Stegostoma tigrinum: one gene and its partner. The protein of the gene in region 1 interacts with the protein of each later gene in a pairwise test. Links are inferred from orthologs where the notes say so. Each region holds a gene or a part of one and is shown on either strand. Other genes may lie near its edges.

Evidence for each region.
Region 2: the proteins of mycbpap (region 1) and c-Myc-binding protein interact in binary tests that used the Homo sapiens proteins (3 or more experiments, as listed by UniProt). The link is inferred for Stegostoma tigrinum from reciprocal best matches to the Homo sapiens genes MYCBPAP and MYCBP.

Annotation. Positions count from the first base shown.
Region 1 is NC_081375.1:37,388,537-37,396,201, forward strand, and holds the start of mycbpap (MYCBP-associated protein), read right to left. Parts: upstream 3,227-7,665; 5' UTR 2,853-3,226; intron 1,936-2,852; 5' UTR 1,746-1,935; coding exon 1,682-1,745; intron 1-1,681. UniProt on the Homo sapiens protein: May play a role in spermatogenesis. May be involved in synaptic processes.
Region 2 is NC_081379.1:51,254,544-51,262,337, reverse strand, and holds the start of c-Myc-binding protein, read left to right. Parts: upstream 1-4,608; 5' UTR 4,609-4,699; coding exon 4,700-4,714; intron 4,715-5,333; coding exon 5,334-5,406; intron 5,407-7,794. UniProt on the Homo sapiens protein: May control the transcriptional activity of MYC. Stimulates the activation of E box-dependent transcription by MYC.

The DNA.
Region 1 (7,665 bases):
ATGAATGATATGGAAAGTTCTCCTTGCTAATGCCTAGTAGTTTGCCCCACATTGGGAGAGCTGTTCCACAAGCTTGTGAAGTTACAGCCTGACTTTGTCAGTTTGGTCTGATTCCATGACTGTGATTATGTTCTAGACATCACCACCACCATCCCTGGGAAGTCCTATCTGATTGGCAAGGCAGACATAGCACCCTTAACATAATGAAACATTACAAATAGTGTCACAGGAATTTTGAAGAACGAAGTATGACACTAAACCTCAAAGGAAGCGTTATGTTGGACAATCAAAAACTCTAAGGGAGTGGGTTTAAAGAGGAAAGCAAGTCAGAAAGGTGAAGGGAATGGAGAGAATTTTAGAGCTTGGGGTTGAGGCAACTGAAGGCACAGTCACTAATAGAACATAGAACATTTCAGCGCAGTACAGGCCCTTCGATTCTCGACGTTGCGCCAACCTGTGAAACCAATCTGAAGCCCATCTAACCTACACAATTCCATTATCATCCAAATGTTTACCAATGACCATTTAATTATCCTTAAAGTTGGCGAGTCTACTATTGTTGCAGGCAGGGCATTCTGTGCCCTTACTACTCTCTGAGTAAAGAACCTGCCTCTGACATCTGTCCTCCATCTATCACTCCTCAATTTAAAGCTATGTCCCCTTGTGCTTGCCACAGTATAGCAATTATGATTGGGAATTGTAGTTGTCGGAGGAGGCTGTTTACAGACTGTTAGCTGAAGTTGTAGCTCATGGAATTGAAGGCTACTTATTGACCTGAGGAAATTGTTACAATTCACCATATTTATGAACAACTTAGAAAGACAAAGAGGAAACTACCTGGGACTTGATGCCTAAGAAAATGGTAGAAGCATAAATAATCAGTTATTTCAAAAGGTCATTGGGTGGGTACTTGATAGAAGTAGACTTGCAGGATTATGGAATGGGACTGACTGAATTGCTCTGCAGAAAGCCAGCAGAGACTTGGTGGGCTGAATGATGTTCTTTGGTGATTCTATGACCATATGCAAATTTGCCAAATCAAAGGTGGGGGGGGGAGGTCTTTGCATGATGGAAATTACAGGAGATATTGATAGATTAAATGAATGAATATAATGAGCTATATTTCAATGGCGTAATGTGTCAGAACCTAAAAAGGATAACTTTTTCTAAATGTAAGAAGCTAGAAATTGCTATATGTACAAAGAGACACGTGGACTTATTTACATAGATTATTATTAAAATATCACAGTGACCTCGCTTTCATCACAAGTCCTCTATGTGTTATCACCTATCAAATATGTCCCTACGTATCGCGGAATGTATGTTTGAATCCTCCCAATCAGGTTATCACCCGTACAAACCAGGTTTTATCAAAGTTACAAATGAAATTCTATGTGACTGACGAGCGTAAACTTTCCCTCTTTGTTCTTCTCAACTAGTTTTCAGCCTTTGACATGATTATCACTCAGCCCTCTTGCAGGAGCTGTCCAAGTTGGGTTTCTTGACCCACGTCACTCCCAGAGAATCTTTACTGCCCAGGGATAGCCCACATTCCTCACAGGAGGCTGGAGGTACTTTGAGGCCCTACGTCCCCAGGGTAGAGTTCGCAGTGCAGGAGCATCCTCCATGTCTCACTGTGGCGAGATGGGGAATAGAACTCTGCCTCCCCCCTCACTCCTACCTGGTGAGCTGCGCAGGGTGGGCTCTCTCCGGGAAACTTTCATTGGAGTCCGTGTCCCCATCATCTGAAATCAAAGCCAGAGGGCTGACAAAGCACAACAGAACAAAGCCAGGTCCGTCTCCGGGTGCAAACCCCAGGCACGGACGCCGTCTCCGGGCAACCGCCCTTCCCGACACTTCCGCCGTCTCCACAGAAACCAGACAACTGCAGACCGTGCACGGTGTGGTCAGAGTGAGCAAGAGGCTTATACTGGGCTATTGCAGAGGGAGAGAGAAGAATTTTAGTCTGGATTATTACAAAGACAATAGGTTGTAATGAGTTATTTACAGGGAGAGCGTTATACTGGGTTATTTCAAAGCAGGAGAGAAAGACGTTAGATTTTGTTAATAGCGACGGATTTGAATGGGCACAGGAGTAGGATCAGACTGGGTTAATAGACTCGGGGAGTGGGGATTAGACTGGGTTATCAGAGAAAGAGAGGAGTTTAGTCTGGATTATTACAGAGAGGAAATTGCCATGGTGCAGAATGAGGCCGTTTGGCCCATCATCTCAGCACTGGTTTTCTAAATGAGCATTATGACTTGGTGCCATTTTTTTCTGCATTATATCTTAGGCCTGAATATTTTTTTTTGAAAAATCATATGCACTTTTGAAAACCTCAATCAATCTGGCTGTCACCACGATTCCAGGCGCGGTGTTTCAGATCTGAACCACTCGCTGTGTGAAAAGGTTTGTCTCCTATCACATTTGCTTCTTTTAGAAATTTCCTTCTCATTTTTGATCATTGTATGAGGGAGCAGTTTGTCCATATGTACTCTGCCAATCCCCCTCAATGAAACCTCCTCTTAGCCTTCTCCTCTCTATGAAAGCAATCCCAACTTCTCCAATCTATCTTCCGCCTTTGAACCATTCCTGTAAGGGTCCAACGCACACTGTCGAATGTTTTTGCATCCTTTCTAAAGTGTGGGAGCCTTGAACTGTGTACAGTGCTCCAGCTGATGTTTTAACTATTATGGTATACAAATTCAGAATAACCTCCTTGCTTTTGTAATCCATGCCTCCATTAATAAAGCCTAAGATAATGTTTGCTTTATTTTACAGCTCACTGAATTTGAATTGAATCATTTATTGTCACGTGTATTCGATATAAAATACATTGAAAAGTGTGTACCATCGCAATACATAGGCGCCATTCACAGCAACTTAGAATAAAATGAAAAGGTAACTTGAAGAGAGTCCAACTTTTCCTTCTCCACGGCTACGGCATGCTGCCGCCAGAATCCTGCTCCGGGCTTCCCAGTCCATGCCTTGCCGTTACCGGGGGCCCACTCCACGTGGAAACGAACGTCCTGCTCCAGGTTTCACAGGCGACTGACCGACTCTGTAGCCGAACTGCCGCTTCGGTACATTGTTGAAGTCGCCTTCCTGTTGGCGGGGGCGGCGGCACTGAGACGAAGAGGACACGCCCAGGCATCGATTACTCTGTGCTGGCTCTTTGTACCTATTTTTCTAATCAGTCCGTACAGAGATATTATTACACATCTCTGGAGCAGGTGAGACTTAAACCTGGCCTTTCTTATTAACCCACGTTTCCGTGTGACTATCAATTATTTCCTTAATAATGATTTCAATTTTTTTTCCATCATAGAAGTCAAGCTGGCTGGTTTAAGATTTCTAGGCTTACTCTTACAATCTGTTTAAGCAAGTAATAGTTGAGAATACAAATAAATGTGTACCGATTACATGAAAAGCCCGAAGGTGTTGAACTGTTTGGATATTTTCTGGATTGAAAAGGGTTTTTGCCATGTGGTTGCTTGGAAAATGGGCCAACCGTTTAATGTGTGCTGTACTTTAGCTGCTTTACAGTCCTTTACAGGAAATCTTCGGATAAAAGACATGCAGAGCCTAGAGGGAGAGAACAGCATGGGGTTTATGACCCTTAATGGCTGAAAAACCTGGCTTTGAAAAAATACATCCCTGTGCTGATGGTTGCCTTAGTAACCCTTTCAGGACTAGAGTTCGGTTTGACCAAGGTTTGACAAGAGGAAGAGATCTGAAGCTACATGGCTCTTTCTCTCGAACCCCCACTCCCGATTCCCCAATTATCTGGGGAATGTGACACTTTCCAAATCTCAAATTGTCTTATAAACCATGAAAAGTTGACCTGACCACTTTCCAAAGACTCTGATCCTGCTTGATTTTATTCCAACCTGAAAACCTTCGATCAGTCTTCGGCTGTCAGCATTTCCATTTTATTGACAATACTTTTTTTATCCTCTTGTTTGTTTCCAGACAGATTTTTAAAATTTTGTTTCTTTTTTAAATACCTCATCTTTGCAGAGTCTGTTATTCTTTGTGTTAGCATGAGTGTTTTTGTTTGGAGAAAGTAGACATGATTTGGAGAACAGGCTGTGCATGCACACAGCTATGCATTTAGGATACAGCCTATCTCACCAGGCTATTGCTATCCTCCTGTAGTTTACCACTGCACTCCTCACTGTTTACTACCTTACCAATTTTCACTTCATCCACAAACTTCTTGATCATATTCTCTACGTGTTAAATCCAAATCATTAATATATACAACAAACAGAAGTGGGTCCATACTGAGCTCTCCAGAACTCCACTGGAAACACATCTCTAGTCACAGAATTGGCATAGAGGTTCAGTGCAAAAGACAAAGGGTTGTTAATGGTAGTGAAAGAAAATGGAGATGTAAATGGGTGTAAATTAAAGGGTGAAAGGGAGAGAATGTAATGAGACCAATTGCTCTAACATATCAGGTTCAGTGTCAGATTGTACTTTATAATACTCCTACAAAGCTTTTTACTTGTTTTATTGTGTTGCAGGTGCTATGTAATTACAGGTTATGATTTAACTGGAATACTCAGTACAAACCAGAAAATGCTGGGAACACTCAAGGTCTGGTAGCATCTACAGAGCGATTAAAAAGAGAGAACTTTCAAAATCATGACTTTTCTTCACATGTCATCAGATACCGTTTGAATAAAGGATGAAGTACAATTGTGAATTTCAGCCAGGATCTTCATGTGACAGAGAGATTGGTACACAGAGATATTCGGTTGCATGGGCAGGAGTCCCATGAGATCATGGAATCCAGAGTACCGATCAGCTCCTTTGCTTTTCATCTCAGGTGCCACACTGCCTCTTTGTGAATCAAACTATCATGCAGCTTGATGGACAATGTGTTGTCATTCTAAACATGTGGAACCATGATACTGTACTTCAAGGGCAGCTTTGGGGTATCCTTTTAGAGTTTTGTGCTCCCCTGGAATGTTTGAGTGTTGAAAGAACATGACTTGCTGGGGAGTTAGTTTTCAGCTATGCAGGCTCTGTGTCTAGGCCATTTTTGTTTGAATTCTTTTTTATCTTCATTCATTGGATGTGGGCATTGCTGGCTAGGCCAGCATTTATTGCACATCATTCATTCTGCTGGATAACTAACTGTCTTCTTGAATCTCTGCAGCCCTTCCAGTTTTGGGACACCAAAATGCTGTTAGGGAGATCCATAATATTTACTCAGTTACAGTGAAAGAATGGTGCTATATTTTGAAGTGAGGATAGTGCGTTGGTTGGCGGCAACTTGCAGCAACTGTTGCTTCCACATATCTGCTACCACTTTTCTAAATCATTGAGTTTATGGTTTTGAAAGGTGCTGTTAAGAGAACCCTTGGTGGACTATGGCAGTGCATCTTGTAGATGGCACACATTACTGCCACTGTTCATCAAGGATGATTTTTGAAGGTGATGGATAGGGTGCCAGACAAATTCAAGGAAAATGCTAAGAATCATTATGAACTCGTTGTAATAATTAACTTGATAAAAGTATTGATTCAATAAATCGTGAGGGCATGAAAATTTGAATGCCCAAGAAACTCCAAAACAATTCTGCAATTGCTGTACAATGGTATCACTGCATCTGTCAAGAACAACCTTCGACCCTGTTTCACATATTCAATAAGGATCGCATACGATTGCCTTCAAAAATCCAGATTTGAGCCCAGCAAGACTGTGTGATAACGCTCTTACGTATAGAATTTATTAGAAAATGGCTGTTCACCAATGGTGTCAAAGATCAACTACTCTGATGTCACTCAGTATTAGATAATACCTAGCTGCAGAACTCTTTAAACTCATTGCCCCCGAACCAAATTGGAATATTCCGCTGGAGCAAATCAAGGATCCCATTCATCCACAAAGCTTCCTCGCAACACCATGCGATGCTGGCAGCCTGTAGATGGTGCTGCTGAGGGAGGTCATATTCCGCCGGGGGAGCAGCCAGTGCTCCCAGACGCCCACCAGCCGGTCCTCGAGGGTCTGATCCAACCGGCGGGAAAACAAACCGAAAATCTGTTTTTGAAAGGAAGACAGTCCACGCGTGGAGGATGGGGGGCGGGGTTATCTGGTAGCCTAACGCGGGGAATCACGTGGTGAATGACATGGGACGATGGGGGACTAACACGTGCCCCGCATTCTGCTCGCTGATTGGGAGGCCGGTGTGAGTGACGGCTCACGCGCCCCACCCATTCCTCCACACTGGGCGTTTGTCCGAGGCGACCCCGGTCTGAAATCTCAGACGCGATCCGTCAAACGGGCCTGGTCAGTAAGTCGGTGGCGGCTGACTCCTGGGAGGAACAGGCTGTGGTTTTTGAAAGTTGTCTGGCTTTCATTTGCTGAGGTGCGAGGTCACATCTGAGTCTAACATTTCCTGCTAATATTTCCTCATTAGCTTGGATTGGCCGACCTGTCCCGGCTGTAACTTTTGCCCAAAACAAATCTCTGATTTCACATTTTAATCGGTAGGCAGCGAAGGAGGGAAGTTTTGTCTTCCATGTTCTAATAACAACTTGCATTTGTGTCGTGCTTGTATCATCGACAAACATCTTGGAGCGGCTTCACGGAGATACTCGGATGTTAACTGGTCAGATGAGACGTTAAGAAGGGGTGGTCAGCAGTTTGGACAGAGGTTAGTTTATAGGAAGGTTTTATAAACAATAGAAAACGAAGTCATAACGATAAATTGATGGGAAGAAGAGGGGGAGGAAGGAATGATTTGGTGGAGGTTACAACAATAGGATGACACCATGAAGGGCTTAATAAATCAATCCAAGGCTTTGAGAAGCGCGATGTCCAGAGTGGGAAGGAAACTGCGTAGTAGATACCTGGCTGAGTTGAGTTTACAGTGAGGTTAACCAGTGAAGCATAGTCATAGTTAAGGGGCTTAACGTAAATGAAGACTCGGGATTGTTTTAGGGGGAGGAGTGTGCCCTGATGTTACTGGTGCAGAGGTCAGAAGGTCCTTGGATGGAGAGGAAGCACAATCCAAGTTGCAGGAAAGATGAAAAGGATATGCGGTGAATGAAGACAATGTGGTCAAAGACTTAGGTTCTTTTTGCAAAGGGGTGGTAAATAATGTAGCAGTCTCAAATTACATTTTTGAGGGACATTTTGGTTCTGTGATAAGGGGGAAAAACCTGATGGAGAACAATCAATAGGTTTGATGTAGTGGACTGGTTGGAGAATTTAGGGAATGTATGGTGGAGATGGGCATGAGTTCAGTAGGTAACAATAATCAAGAAATGTTACAATATCAGGCATCATGTGGGATCCAAATGGGATTTTGAATGATCTACAGATTAGTTGGAATGGGTTCAAGGAAGTCCCATGGATGAGCTTGTAAAGGGAAAACTGGCAGACAGGAGAGGAATTAGAGAAAACTAGAAGGCTAGGGCAGAGGAATCTAGAGTAGGCTTTGCGTAGAGAAGCAATTGAATGAATGTTCTTAATAATAGAGCTAAAGGCCGACTCTCATTTAGGAATGGATAAATCAGTTTATGGACATGGCTGGTAGTGGAGAAGAGAAACTGAAAACTATTGTTGATCTCCAAGATAACCCAAATAGAGCATGTAAAAATAGTTTAATTGCTTTGCTAGATAGACATTTCACATTTTAATTAGGAACT
Region 2 (7,794 bases), on another chromosome or scaffold:
TGGGTTCTGTATTTAAGGAAGGATGTGCTGGTATTGAAGGAGGTTCAGAGGAGGGTTACAAAAATGGAGCCAAGGATGAAGGGCTTGCCATATGAGGAGAAGTTGAGAACTCTAGCTCTGTATTCGGCAGAGTTTGAAAGGATCAGAGAGGATCTCATTGAAACTTAACAGAATATTGAAAATCAATAAATGTGGAGGTAGAAAAGCACAGCAGGTCAGATAGCATCAGATGAGCAGAACAGCCTTATGTTGTCTCAGCTGCTGTGCTTTTCTAGCTCCACACTTATTGACTCTAGCCTCCAGCACCTGCAGTCCTTTCTGTCTCCAAGTCCCAGAATACTGAGAGGCCTGGAAAGAATGGACATGAAGATATTTCTATTAGTAAGAGACTAGGGAACAGCTTTAGAGTGAAAGGACTACCCTTCAGAACTGAAATGAGGAGTAATTTGTTCAGCCAGAGGGTGGTGAATCTTGTGGAACTCATTGGTGCAGAAGTCTGTGGAGGCCAAATCATTGAATGTATGTAAGACATAGATTGGAATGTTCTTGATTAGCAAGAAGATAAAGGGTTATTGGAGGAGGCAGGAGAATCTGGTTAGAACATAGAACATTACAGCGCAGTACAGGCCCTTTGACCCTCGATGTTGCACCGACCTGTGAAACTAATCTGAAGCCCATCTAACCCACACTATCCGTTAAGATCCATATGTTTATCCAATGACAATTTAAATGTCCTTTAAAATTGGTGAGTCTACTACTGTTGCAGGCAGGGCATTCCACGCTCTTACAACTCTCTGAGTAAAGAACCTACCTCTGGCATCTGTCCTATATCCATCACCCCTCAGTTTAAAGCTATGTCCCGTCATGCTAGCCATCATCATCCTAGGAAAAAGACTCTCACTGTCCACCCTATCCAATCCTCTGATCATCTTGTATGTCTCTATTAAGTTGCCTCTTAACCTTCTTCTCTCTAACAAAAACAGCCTCAAGTCCCTCAACCTTTCCTCATAAGACCTTCCATCCATACCAGGCAACATTCTGGTAAATCTCCTCTGCATCCTTTCCAGTGCTTCTACATCCCTCCTATAATGCAGCAACCAGAACTGTACGCAATGCTCCAAGTACGACTGCACCAGAATTTTGTACAGCTGCAACATGACCTCATGGCTCCGAAACGCAATCCCTCTACCAATAAAACCTAACATACCGTATGCCTTCTTAACAACCCTATCAACCTGGGTGACAACTTTCAGGGATCTATGCACATGGACCCCAAGGTCTCTCTGCTCGTCCACACTACCAAAAATCTTACCATTAGTCCAGTACTCTCTATTCCTGTCACTCCTTCCAAAGTGAATCATCTCTCACTTTTCCACATTAAACCCCATTTGCCACCTCTCAGCCCAGATTTGCAGCTTATCTATGTCCCACTGTAACCCGCAACATCCTTCTGCACTATCCACAACTCCACTGACTTTAGCGTCATCCGCAAATTTACTAACCCATCCTTCTACGCCCTCATCCAGGTCATTTATAAAAATGACAAACAGCAGAGGCCCCAAAACAGATCCTTGCGGTACACCAGTAGTAACTGAACTCCAGGACGAACATTCCCCATTAACCACCACCCTCTGTCTTCTTGCAGCTAGCCAATTTCTGATCCAAACCACTAAATCACTCTCAATCCCACGACTCCACTTTTTATGCAATAGCCTATCATGGGGAACCTTATGAAACGCTTTACTAAAATCCATATACACCACATCAACTGCTTTACCCTCATCCACCTGTTTGGTCACCTTCTCAAAGAACTCAAATGGTTTGTGAGGCACGACCAACCTTCACAAAACTGTGTTGACTATCCCTAATCAAATTATTCCTTTCTAGATGATTATAAATCCTATCTCTTGTAATCCTCTCCGACACTTTACCCACAACCGAAGTAAGATTCACTGGTCTATAATTACCAGGATTGTCTCTACTCCCCTTCTTGAACAAGGGGACATTTGCTATCCTCCAGTCTTCTTGCACTATTCCTGTAGACAATGATGGTTGAGAAGCGAATCAGCTATGATCAAATTGCAGAGGAGACTCAGTGGGCTGAATGACTTAATTCTGCTCTAATATCTTATCTTATGATGTTGAAATGGATAAGGCACTTGTTTGATCACAGCTGGAGTATTGTGACATATTTGGAAGAATGTGAACTCATTGTAGAGGGTGTGGAAGCAATTAACAAGAATATTTGGGAAATGACAAATTTCAGTTATGAGGAATAGATTGAGGAGATTATCACTGTTTTTCTTGGATAGAAGAAGTTTGAGTGGAGATTTGATAGCGGTTTCCAAAATCATGACCAGGCTAAATTCAGTAGAATGGGAGAAGCTGCAAGAATGAGATGGCATAGATTTGAAGTGGTGTGTAAAAGAAGCAACAAATGATTTGAGGAATTATTTTAGGGTGAGACACACAGTGCCTGGAAATGAGGTGGAGGTAGGTTTAATTGAGGCATTCCAGTGGAAATTGTATGACCATTTGGTTCAAAATAGCATGCAAAAGTATGGGCAAAAAGGAGATTGACACCAGGTAACGATGTTCATTTGAAGAGCCACTACAGCACAATGGTCCAAATGGTCTCCTTCTGTGACATAATAATTTTGTGATACATTTGTATTCTTTAAAGAGCATTGGCAACTTCATATGAATGAAGCTACCATCACAGTAACCAAGTGTAAAAATTAAACCAATTATCTATCGAGCCAGATTTAGTTCTGGGATGTGACTTGTTCAATGCTGTCTTCAACTGGGGCAATGGCAATTGCCATTACAAAGACATGGCTGCATGGTGATCAATACTGGAAACTTCAGCTTTAAGAAGCAACAGTTAAAAGAAAAAGAAGATAAATTACTCTGAATAAGGAACAAGATTGATAAGTTAGTAAGAGAGGCGCTCAGTAACATAGAAGCATGGAAAATAGATGAAAAACTGAGCCATCATTAAATATCATGAAGGCTGATCCCAATCTCGACACCATACACACACTCCCTTCCCATACTCAATATTATTTAGGGTCTAGAAATCTATTTCTTTATCAAGTATATTTAATTACTTGGCCACCAAAGCCTACTTACAAATAGGTCCTCAAGGGCCCCACCGTCTGAATAAAGAAATTTCTCCTCCTCTCAGTTCAAAATTCTATCCTGAGGCAGTGAACCCCTTTTTCTACACTTGGTTGCCATTCTGGTCAACCCTTCAGAATTTCGTACATTTCAATTAGATTCCTTCTCATTTTTCTTGGGTCCAGTGAAGACTAGTGAACTCGAGTCTCTCTTCAAACAATATGTTGCCATCACAAGAATCTGTCTGGTGAGCCTTACTTAAATTCTCCCTCTGGCAAGCGTATATGTTATCTCTTGTTACTTATTAACAAGATCAGAACTGCACACAATACTCCAGGTGTTATCTCACACTTGCTCTATATCATGTTGATAAAATGCACTTTCTCCTGTACTTAAAGTCCTCAGTAAAGGCTAACATACCATTTACCTTCTTAACTGCTTGCTGTACCTATATGTATGCCTGCTCTCAGCGGCTGGTGTACACAGGCACCCATTTCCCTTTGTACATCAACATTTCCTAAACTGTAGGAATTCTTCTGCCATCTTATCATTGCACACGTGGTTTTGCCAGTGTGCATACACTCTAAGGTACCCATGAATACTGGAGCAACCTTGTTACGTGCATTTTTTAATTTTAGTTTAGTACCATCTCCAGCCTACCTCAGCATCACTGTATAGTGGCCTTTAGACAACTCCTACTGATATTTTTGCGCCTTGTTGCTTCTTAGTTCTGACCGATTCTACATATATTTTCCAAGGTATTGTCCTTCATTAATAACAAAAACAGAAATTGTTGAGGTTCTCAGCAGGTCTGGCTGCATTTTTTGAAGAGAAAACAGCAAACGTTTCAAGTCCAGTGATCTTTCTTCAGAACATTTGAAGAATTTCTGTTCACAGATGCTGCCAGGCCAGGACTCGCCATGCTAAAATTGCCCGTAGTGTTCAGGGATGCATAGATTAGGTGGGTTGTAGGTAGATGGGTCCGGATGGGATGCTCTGAGGGTCGGTGGACCTAAGGGCCTGTTTCAACACTGTAGGGATTCTATGATACAGTTCTTTATTCACGTTTTATTATTCTGCTGATTCCGCATTTTACTAAGCGCAAAACACCAAAACTCTCTGTCTTCTTTGCTTGTCCTTTCTGAATATATACCTTGGATGTTTGGTTCCCAGCCATTGTTACTCTGAAGCCACACCTCAGTGATAACATTTACATCATTATCTATTTATAACATTTCAGATGCGATACATGTAGGTTTCCCTTTTGAACACAGTATTTTTACATTTTTGTGCGATTGCTGTATTTGGTACGAAGCCGTTTTCAGCCGTGTCTTCCAACTTTGTTTCCTACTTTTCTATCTTTGACCTTGCCGGGCGGGGCGGGGCAAGAGAGGGTTTGGGGGCGGGGTAACGTCAGAAGGCGGCACCGGGGCAGCTCAGCCATTGATTCGCTGCTGCCTCCTCGCGCGCTGACCTTTTGGCGTTACGGGGTGGGGTGGCTGGAGCGGGTTGTTGTCATGGAAACAAATTCCGGAAACAAGAGGCGCAGTGCGGGCCTTGGAGTGGAGAGGGAAAGAATATGGCGCATTACCGGGTAAGGGAGTGGTGGGGCCCTGACCAAGGGTTTCAGTTTGAAGTGTCGACCTTCCCCTTCTCCGATGTTGTCTGTATTGTTCCAGCTTCTCACTCACAGCCTCTGTGGCATTACTGACTCCCACTCAGGAGGTAATACACCATCTTGGAATTATCTCCGAGGGCCACAGAAACGCCTGACTGTTCCGCAAAATGAAACCCCTATCATCGCCGCTTCTGCTTTATTCTATCCCCCGCCGTATTCTTGGATAGTCTGGTTGGTGCTCCGAACTTGGCCCTGTTTGCACTTCCTTGAGGAGCCAGTGCCCTCGTCAGCTTCCAGACTGGGAAACCGATTTGTGAGCAGGACCCGGGTTGGGGAGTCCTGCACTCTCCGCCTCTGTTTTTCCATGACTGCCTGGTCGTCACCCATTTCGTTCTTTCCTCCAGTCTCTTGAGCTGCTTTGTGACCACCCTGGAGCTCGTGCTTCTCTCTTAGGTGCACTTCCTGCACACATGGTCGTCTGGAATGTCAGTAGGGTCCATGGCGGACAGAAGGAGTTGAAGAGCTATCGTAGGCTTGTTAAAAGTTTTTATATCTGTTAGGGGCATAAACACGTTATTCCTCTTGTTTTCTCCAGGCTGGTGATTCCCGCAGAGAGCAATTTCGTAGATACTTAGAAAAAGGTGGCGTGCTGGATACGCTCACTAAAGGTGAGGTGCTGTTTTCATTTTTGTTCATTTGTGGGATGTAGTGTTACCGGCTGGGCTGGCATCTACTGCCCTAATTGCCCCTGAGGTGTGGTGGTGAGTTGCTTTCTTGAACTGCTGCAGACAACGTGCAGTAGGTGCATCCACAATCTTATTAGGGAGGGAGTTCCAGGTTTTGTAACTGAATGACACCGAATGATTTGTGGTCACAAGGAATCAAGGGCTACAGGGAGAGTGCAGGGAAATGGTGTTGAAATGCCCATCAGCCATGATTAAATGGTAGAGGACTCGATGGGCCGAATGGCCTTACTTCCACTCCTGTGTCTTATGGTCTAATGTCTGCTGCTGCTATTCTAGATGGTTTGGTTGTTGGTTTGGAGGTGCTGTCTAATGAATCTTGGTGAATTTCTGCAGTACATCTGCATACTTTATTGTGTTACTTTTAGATTAGATTCCCTACAGTGTGGAAACAGACCCTTCAGCCCAACAAGCCCACACTGTCCCTTGAGGCATCCCACCCAGACCCATACCCCTGTAACCCACATATCCCTGAACATTATGGACAATTTAACATGGCTGACCCACCTAGCCTGAACATCTTTGGACTGTGGGAGGAAACCCACACAGAAACGGGGCGGACGTGCAAACTCCGCACAGACAGTCGCCCGAGGCTGGAATCAAACCCGTGTCCCTGGTGTTGTGCGGCTGCAGTGCTACTACTGAGCCACCGTGCCGCCCTAATATATGAAACATCTGGGGTTTCAGAGGCACTCTGGCCAACAAAATCAAATACAGAAGCCCCAGTGGTGATATTTGGGCAGATAAACCAAATCTTGAATGCTGAAGCAGAATGTAGTTACATGTTGAAGGCAATAGGAAAGGTAGAGCATGATAGAAGCCAATATAATGGAAGGCACAGTCCTCAATTGTGTGGTATTTTAAAAAATAGGAATACAGACAAATCTGAAATGAATATGAGCACGGGTACCTGCAGTTGGGCTGCAGGAAATTAAAGACAAAGGGAGGGAGAGACCATGGAGAGATTTGAAACAAGAATGTAAATTTTATATTCCACATGTGTGTGTTAAAGAGTACAGAGATAACAGGTGCTAGGATTTGTGTAAGGATCTGAATGCTCCCAAGCTTAATGAAGGTGAGAAATGGGAAGCCAGCATGACGTATGTTAGATTAATCAAGTTTGGAGGGAACAAAATGGTACGGTTTTGATTATTGCCTGAGCTGGAACAAAATGAAGTTACAGTACTGCACATTGGTGATCTTGTAAAGCAAAAAGGTTCTGGCACCTCATCTTTGCATTTAAATATGACTCCAAGGTTATGAGTGTTTGGCTTCCTGGAAGAAGAATGTAGTTCAATGCAGAGTCCAAGGAGCAATGGCTTCAGTCTTCCTGATATTTAATGTGAACAATTAGAGCAAAAAATGCTGGACATACTTACCCATCCACCAGTCTGTATGGAGAGAGAAAGTGTTAATATTTTATCATAGTTTTCTTTTGAGACCAACAATATTTTAAAACCACCTTCGCTCCCACCCCCTGAAACTTTGTTATAAGATGAGAGATCAAGATTTCACATTTTAAAAGTTTCTTGAGAAATGTTTAAGAGCATTATTGACTAAACTCCAGAGATGACCATATCCCTTTCTATAGTTGGTCACCTATTGCACTTTTTACAAAATTGCAGTACACAGTTCTGAGTTTCAAGTGGACTCCTGTACCCCCAATTAATAATAACTTTATCTGTATTGATGTACTTTTCCCAGTTTTCAAAGTGTTTCTGAAATCCACCACCATCTGTAAAGCCTGTTCCAATGATTCTTTTTCCCTGGCCATGCCAGAACACATCTGACTCCAGAAAGTTGCAGGACATGTGTTTTTGACGAGAAACTTGTGTCTCTCCTACATCTGATAATCACAGAACCTCAAGAGGCCATCAATTCACCATGTTTACACCAGCTCTAATATCTAGTCTGGCTGAGTTATCTATTGCTTTATCTCCATATCTCTGCACTCCATTATGATCCAATGTCCTCTTGAATGCCTCAACTGAACCTCCCTCTTTCACATTCTAGGCAGTGCAGTCCATACCCTAACAACTTGCTGTGTGAACAAGTTTTGATTTTGCATCATCCTTGCTTTGTTGCATGTCCCTTTAAATCTAAGCCCCTTGTTCTTGTTTCTTTTGCAAGCAGAAATACTTTCTCCTTATCTTTTCTGTCCAACCTGCTCATGATTCTGAAAACCCCTCACTGCTTTCTGTCCAAATGAACAGTCCCAACCTCTACAATCATAGCTGAACTTCCTCATAACCTGGAATCATTCTAGTAAATCACTTCTGCATTCTGTCCAATCAATTCGCACTTTTGAATGTG